Mus musculus: one gene and its partner. The protein of the gene in region 1 binds, or shares a complex with, the protein of each later gene. Links are inferred from orthologs where the notes say so. Each region holds a gene or a part of one and is shown in the gene's direction. Other genes may lie near its edges. The genes, in order: Nhp2 and Nop10.

Evidence for each region.
Region 2: Nhp2 (region 1) and Nop10 share a complex: the UniProt entries of both Homo sapiens proteins name them as parts of the H/ACA small nucleolar ribonucleoprotein (H/ACA snoRNP) complex. The link is inferred for Mus musculus from reciprocal best matches to the Homo sapiens genes NHP2 and NOP10.

The regions. Positions count from the first base shown.
Region 1 is NC_000077.6:51,618,172-51,622,676, forward strand, and holds the start of Nhp2 (H/ACA ribonucleoprotein complex subunit 2), read left to right. Parts: upstream 1-1,601; 5' UTR 1,602-1,646; coding exon 1,647-1,806; exon of another isoform or gene 1,807-1,910; coding exon 1,911-1,980; intron 1,981-4,313; coding exon 4,314-4,419; intron 4,420-4,505. UniProt on the Homo sapiens protein: Required for ribosome biogenesis and telomere maintenance. Part of the H/ACA small nucleolar ribonucleoprotein (H/ACA snoRNP) complex, which catalyzes pseudouridylation of rRNA.
Region 2 is NC_000068.7:112,260,493-112,263,608, forward strand, and holds Nop10 (H/ACA ribonucleoprotein complex subunit 3), read left to right. Parts: upstream 1-1,433; 5' UTR 1,434-1,531; coding exon 1,532-1,585; intron 1,586-1,820; coding exon 1,821-1,961; 3' UTR 1,962-2,406; downstream 2,407-3,116. UniProt on the Homo sapiens protein: Required for ribosome biogenesis and telomere maintenance. Part of the H/ACA small nucleolar ribonucleoprotein (H/ACA snoRNP) complex, which catalyzes pseudouridylation of rRNA.

The DNA.
Region 1 (4,505 bases):
TTTAAATACTTGATTTCCCCACCATTTAGTAATCGCTTACTGAGACACATCCAGGCCTCCCTACAACCTAAAAAAGAGAGATGATTTCAATCTTTACTAGGCTACCCAGTGCTCCTTCCTCCAACAGCCTTCCCTGGTTCTGTCTTTCTTGGCAATTCAGAGAATGTATCCCAATCTGACATATCCTGGTCCTCTTGCTGCTGTCCAAGTGATGGCTTTTAGTGGCTGGAAATCATACTCAACTATCTCACAGGTCTCATAGTTGTCAATCAGGGATAGGTAAGTTCTGTGTCCTTCACAAAACACAGATCTAAATGTGGGCCTGATTTTTGGCATCTGGCACTCAGGATCCTCCTTCATATTCACCCTTACCAGCTTCAGTCCCTCTACGTCACAGAGCTGAGGTCCCCGTTTCCTGTTGCTCCAGGGTTCTCATTAGCTAGCTGGACTCTTCATCCAGCACATGTCACCTTCCTTCCTACCTTTCTGGTTTTTCAGATTTGCTTTTAACATTTAAGAACTTTTGATTGATTTATTTCCTGTGTGTGAGTGTGTTGCCTGAAAGCACATCTGTGCAGCACATGCACTCCTGAGGCCCTTGCAGATTAGACATTTCAGATCCCCTGGAACTGGAGTGGGTTTTTTTGTTTGTTTGTTTGTGTTTTTTTGTTTGTTTGGGGGGGGTTGGTTTTTGTTTTTTGGTTTTTATTCAAGACAGGGTTTCTCTGTATAGCCCTGGCTGTCCTGGAACTCACTCTGTAGACCAGGCTGGCTTTGAACTCATAAATCCACCTGCCTTTGCCTCCCAAGTGCTGGGATTAAAGGCATGCGCCACCACTGCCCGGCCTCTTTTTTTTCTTTTTTCTTTGCGGTTTTTTTTTTTTTTTTTTTTGGAGACTGTTTCTGTGTAATCCTGGCTGTCCTGAAACTCGATCTGTAGAACAGGCTAGCCTTGAATTCAGAGTTCCTCCTGCCTCTGCCTCCCAAATGCTGAGAGTAAAGGTATGCACCACTACTGCCCAGCGGAAGTCACTATGTAGACCAGGCTGACCTTACTGCCCAGCGGAAGTCACTATGTAGACCAGGCTGACCTGATCCACCTGCCCCTGCCTCCCCACTGCTGGGATCAAAGGTGTGCGGTTTATAGTTTGTGCAACAGGATCTAGGAGGGGGAAAAGAAAATATGAAAAAACTTTCAGGTGCGCCAGGCTTTACCTAACCAGCAGCAGCAGGTCACAAGGCAGGTCACAAGGAGCTCAGGGGACACAATCCCGTTGTGTATTTTCCTTCCACCCGCTCTTCAATCTCTCCGGGCCCCGCCTCTTTCCCTTTGGGCTCCGCCTCTTTCCCTTTGGGCCCCACCTCTCGGCCCCAGGCCCCGCCCCTTTCCCTCTGGAAACCCGGTTCTAAATTCGGCCTCCCTGGGATTCCCGCGGTGAAAATCCAAATCCCGTGCTTAGATTGACCTTTAACTCCGCCCCCATATCCAAAATCCCGCCCCTAGAGATCTACTTAGAGATTGGTCGGTGTAGAATATTTAGTTTCCCAATTGGTCACAGGGTAGAGCCACTTGAAAACCCGGAAGTGATGTCGGAGGCGGCGGCCGCGTGGTTCCTCTATGCCGGGACGGAGTTGTAGTTGCTAAGATGACCAAAGTAAAGGCCGCTCCCGAAGAGTCCGAGGCGCAGGCGGAGGGCTGCAGCGAGGAGCGCACGTACAAAGAGCTGCTGGTCAATCTGAACCCCATCGCGCAGCCCCTGGCTTCCCGCCGCCTGACGCGCAAGCTCTACAAGTGCATCAAGAAGGGTGAGGCGGGCGCGTGGCGATCGCGGTCCGGGACCGGTGACTTGGGCGGCCCGGGGTCGAGCCTCGTGAGCGAGGTGTCGGCTCACGCTTCTCTCTCTTTGTAGCTGTGAAGCAGAAGCAGATTCGTCGCGGGGTGAAGGAGGTTCAGAAATTTGTCAACAAGGGCGAGAAAGGGTAAGAACCCGGCTTCCTCTGGTTTTTAAGTTTTGTGTGGTTTTTATTTTTATATTCCAGTGCCGGGGATTGAACCTAGGGCCTTGTGCACGGTACACAAGTACTACGGCACTAAGTTTGGCTTATTAACTGGTTAAGAAGAAATTCCACCTACTCAATAAAGGTGAAGTTGACCAACCAGTCTAGCAGTCAACTCCCTTCACTACCAGTAAATGGAACTCCCAGTAAATGACAGGGAAGAGAATAGGAATCCAGCCCGTGTAAACTAGAGTCCTGATCATTCACTCTGTAGAACGGCACAACTTTTTCAGGCTCTAGGCAACGTGCTATATGTAGAGAGACATTTTCCCAAGTAGGGCAGGGGAGAATGCGGGCTAGCTTCCGAAGTATAGCTAGTTCAAGGCCGTCGTGGTCTATGGACAGGTCTCAAAACAAACAAAACTCCCAAAAGGAGAAAATGATAAGCCAGTGATAGGCCTTTAATCCCATCAGAGGCAGATCTCTTAAGTTTTCAGCCATGACTATGTATAGAGACCCTGTCTCAAAACAACAAAGGAAGAGAATGAATGAATGAAGGTTTATTTGGGGTGAGGGGGTGGAATCCTGAGAAGAGTAGGCTCTTGGACAGGGCAGTGTAGTGGCACTTACACAATGTAAGTGGTTACTCCTTTTAAGTGTATGACTGTTTTGCCTGCGTGTATATGTTGGTGCATCACTGGTGCCCTTGGCAACCAGAAGGCAAGGTGTAAGGTCTCCTTGGACTGGAGTTAGAAATGGCCATGCACCCCCAGAAATGGCTATGCATCCCCGTATGCCGGCTCTCCAGCCCTCCTGGGCTTTCTTTTTTTTTTTTTTTTGAGACAGGATTTCTCTGTGTAGCCCTGTCTGTCCTGGAACTCATTTTGTAGACCAGGCTGGCCTCAAACTCAGAAATCCGCCTGCCTCTGCCTCCGGAGTGTTGGAATTAAAGGCGTGCCCCACCATGCCCGGTTTTGTTTGTTGTTGTTGTTGTTGTTGTTTTCTTTTTCCCCCTCGTGGGCTTTCTAAGGTAGGTTTAGTGTTCTCAGAACAGAGTGCAAGCTGAGGCGTGACATCGAGGGAAGAATTAGGAGAGGCAAGTCAGACTTAGTAAGCTGTTATGGCCCAAGGCAGGTGATGGGCAGGAGCTACAGCTGAGGGATTTGAGAGACGGTGACATATAATGACTTTGCATGCTAGTTTGGGCTGTAGTGTGTGACTGCAGACAGACAGTGGAGGAAAGCCAGGTTTGTGTGAAAACATCTGAAGTGTGGTTTTTAGATACCTTTTATTACGTGTGGGTGCCTACTTGCATGTGTATGGACACATGTGCATCTGGTACCCATGTGAACACCAGCGGACAACTTGGAGAGCTGATTCTCTTCTGCCATTCAGGCCCCTGGGATTGAACTCAGGTGGCCAGGCTTGGCAGTGAGTGTCTTTACCCTCTGAGGCGTCCTGAGTTGACATGGAAAATGCCTTGGACATGCTCTGCTTAGCTATTCTACAGGCAGATGTTTTGGTAGGGCAGATGGGGGCTGGTAGCTTCAGGTGGCCCCTGGCACCATGATAGGTCAGGAAGGCAAGGAGAAAGGGACCACAAAGAAGGACAGCAAAGGAACAAGTGGAAAGGACCAGCCTTGTGCCAAAGGGAACGGAGTATGCAAACAGATGTCTACCACCCTTACACCGGGCAGATCTTCAGGACTTCTGGGTCTGGTACACTGACAGCTCTCAGCCATGGTTGAGGGCCCTGGCAAGCTTTCTCTTGGGACAGAGTCTGTGTGTTACTCAAACACTTAGGTGTGATCCCTGCCAGTCCTCTCAGCTTTGTTCTCTGACACCCCCCCCCCACCACACACACACACACTAGTTATCTATTGCAGAAGGCAACCAGCCCTTCAGTACCACCCTTGGCCTTATTCTGTCCCCACACCTGCCATTCTGGAATCATCATGGCACTCAAGTCTCTGTTCAAGGGTCATCTCCTGGTTGGAACATAACTGACTCTAAGGAGAGCCGAGTTCCTATTTCGTGGTATTTCTCCTGTACCTCATCTGTCCCAGCACTTCACCTCTAGTCACATTCGGTGGCATTTACATGCTGTCAAGTAGAGACCATGTCCCCAGAGGAATGCATTTGCCAAACATGACTTTGTACTCCTTTCAGAAGTTGAAGGCTAGTGTGGGGGTCCTTGGTTGGGGTGGGGCATTTTCTTGGACTCTGCCCTCACAGCCAGGCTGGAGATAGCTCTTAGAACTGAAAGGGAAAGAGACGGAGCAAAGGAGAACTGATGGTGCCTTCTCTTGTTGCAGGATCATGGTTTTGGCAGGAGATACATTGCCGATTGAGGTGTACTGCCATCTTCCAGTTCTGTGCGAGGACCAGAACTTGCCCTACGTCTACATCCCCTCTAAGACGGTGAGAAGCGCATGCCCACCCTGCCCCATTCCCATCTTGGCCCTAGGGAGGCTGTTTGAGGAATTATCTCAGGTGTTGGAATTCTT
Region 2 (3,116 bases), on another chromosome or scaffold:
GGGAGGGTGAAAAGGACTAAAATTCTGTCTGTGTGTGTGTGTGTGTGTGTGTGTGTGTGTTAAAAGTCGACAACAATAACATCAAAACCTAGACAAAACGAACAAAAATCCAGGCTATGTAAAAAAAAAAAAACCCTACATCAGCAAACACTCTTCCCTTTCATTCCCTGTACCAAGACCTCCATGCCAGAAGATACCAATATTAACTGTTTGTTGTATATTCCCACCCCCGCAAAATCTCGAACACCCACGCCCCCCCACACCCCCCCCACACAAAAACACGAACACTCGCGAACACATCCACCCACCCACCACGCTTTTGTTTGTTTGTTTCTCGGTTTAAAAAAGGGTTTCACTGTTTAGAATACTGTCCAGGTAGGCCTTGGACCTAGGATGTTAGAAATCCTTCCGTTTCAGCCTCTGGACTTCTGGGGTTACAAGCACGGGTTAAGCTCCCGGGTTTTTTTAATGTATCTCATGAAAACGGCAGTCGAACTGTCTATAGTCACTACTTAAAAAAAAAAAAAAAAACTTTACGATTTTTCTGGCTACAAGTTTAGTATGCTACTATATTTTTGCCACTATAAGTAGTGCTGCAATGATCATTTTGCAATATCTTGGTTTTAGTTTTTAATTCTTTTTTTTTTTTTTTTTCTTTTTGAGACAGGGTTTCTCTGTATAGCCCTGGCTGTCCTGGAACTCACTCTGTAGACCAGGCTGGCCTCGAACTCAGAAATCCTCCTGCCTCCGCCTCCCGAGTGCTGGGATTAAAGGCGTGCGCCACCTTAAACTAGAATCTTATGAGACTTTTCAGTCTTTTAAAAACTGGAAATACCCCGAGAAGGCGTACCTTACTTGCTATTATCTGCTACTCACCATATAAGAAAGAGCTGAACTTGTGGTCAGGTCCCGAGTTTGAATCTTGGTTCGATCCCTAAAACAAAATCCACCGGTTCACAAGAAAACCTTTCCGTTCTGTTCGCTTTGCATAATATCGAATACCCATCATGCACTCTTTGCCGCCAATACTCTGAAATTGGGCGGGAAACCGGATGTAAAAAGTAGGGTTCAAAAAAAAAAATCTTAACTTCTTCCCTAGGATATAGGAGGTTGAGAATCCTTGAGTCCTTGTTTCTCCAGGAATTCGAAAAGTGGTGCCTCTGAAATGGGTGTGCAATTTGAAATTAAAGATAGGACTGATATCAACAGTGAATGATGCATCAACATTCAACCCACATCCATCCCTACTTCCTAATCCCTGGCAAGTGGCTGGCACACAGTGGGCAGTTCCATGGATCTTAATAACTTTGCAAGGTTGCTGCTAGCTGGAACCCAAGGCCAAGCAAGACTTGCTCTACTATGCCCCCTTCTGGTCACATGGATATGACTGGAGAAATGGACTACATTTCCCAGGATGCCTTGGAGAGACTTCCGTCCAATCTGGAAGGTTGTTGGCGCACGCGATTGAAGCGGCGCACTCGGAGTAAACGCGGCTGGCGGTAGTACGTGTGTCTTTTTGCTGAGGGCAGTTATGTTTCTCCAATATTACCTCAACGAGCAGGGCGATCGCGTTTATACGCTGAAGGTAAGGGGAGGAGGAAACAGCTATATATCAAAAGGACGAGAAATTTAGATGGGAGGAACAGTTGGAACCGGCCTGCGCAGCCCACTGAGTGGAGCCATGTCGGAGCCAAAACGTGGTAGATAGGCAGTGGCTTCTTTTTCTGACCACGCGATCTCCTGGCCTCAGGTCACCCATTTTCTTGTTTCTTTCTATCACACCACTCATATTGAGATATTTTTTATTTTTCCTTGAGCAGAAATTTGACCCTATGGGACAACAGACTTGCTCCGCCCATCCTGCTCGGTTCTCCCCAGATGACAAATATTCAAGACACCGAATCACCATCAAGAAACGCTTCAAGGTGCTCATGACCCAGCAACCGCGTCCTGTCCTCTGAGGGCTCGTTAATCTTTTACGCTGCTCATGCCTCGGCCTATTATCAGCAACCAAACGCGTCAATCTGTAAGCCTTGAAGCCTTCCCATGCTGTTTGGAATCCTATCTCACTCACCACGTGAATGAGTCTATACTGATGGGCCTCGCCTGTAAAAGGAACAATATTTTTCTTTCTTTTTTTCATGCCAGGTTATTAAAGATATAGTGAACTGAAAGTTCATTTTGTGTGTTGTTGGAGGAAGAGATGGGGGAAGGGTAGTACCGTTGGTAGTACAAGGCCACTTGAGAACATTCGTAAGCCCTCATTGTAGCAATAGAACTGTGTGCCATCGACGATAGGGTGTTGGGGGGAAAAAGGCTGTGAAAGACTCCTACAAAGGTCAGCATTCCCTGGAAAACTACTGTCTAATTGTGGGCCCTTTAAAAAATATTCTGAATTCCTCAAAGAGTAAAAAAAAATGTATGTGTGTTTTAGTATTTTACCGACATGTGTCTATGCCTATATGTGCCAGTAACCATCAAGACCAGAAGAGGGAGTCAGATCCCTGGTGACTAGAGACTGATAGCTAGTCTTTCTGTGACTGCAGGGGATAGACACAGGTCCTCTGGGAAGCACCCCTCTCTCCAGTCCTACCACTACATTTTGAGTTCTGAGATAACAAGTATGCCCAACCCTGGAAGTTTTCTTTTTCTCTCTTTAGACAGAGTCTCTATGTAGAGCTGGCTGCCCTGGACCTCAGGTCTAACTGCCTCTGCCTTTGAACACTATCTTAAAGGTGTGCGCCAGCCTGTGGATGTTTCTTTACCAAGCCAGTGAAATCTGTCTGGTAGGAGATATGTCTTCTTGGTTTTTTTCAGTATTGGATACAATTAATTCTGTCCTTCGATTGCAAAAATAAAACATTAGCATTGTTAGCATTACTTCTATGCCACGAGCTGTGCATACCAAAATAAAGACTTCAACCTGGAGGTAGTACTAGTCACCATGGAGAAAAGGAAACGTGTGACTCTAGCAATGACTTAGACAATCCCCTGGATACACATGGCTTTAGGGAGCTTGATTATGTGTTTGGGGGCAAGAGGAAGAGCTGTCAGAGTGAGCTAGGTAGTGCATATAAATACATGCAAAAAGACTGGCATGTGTCAGAGAGCAGAAA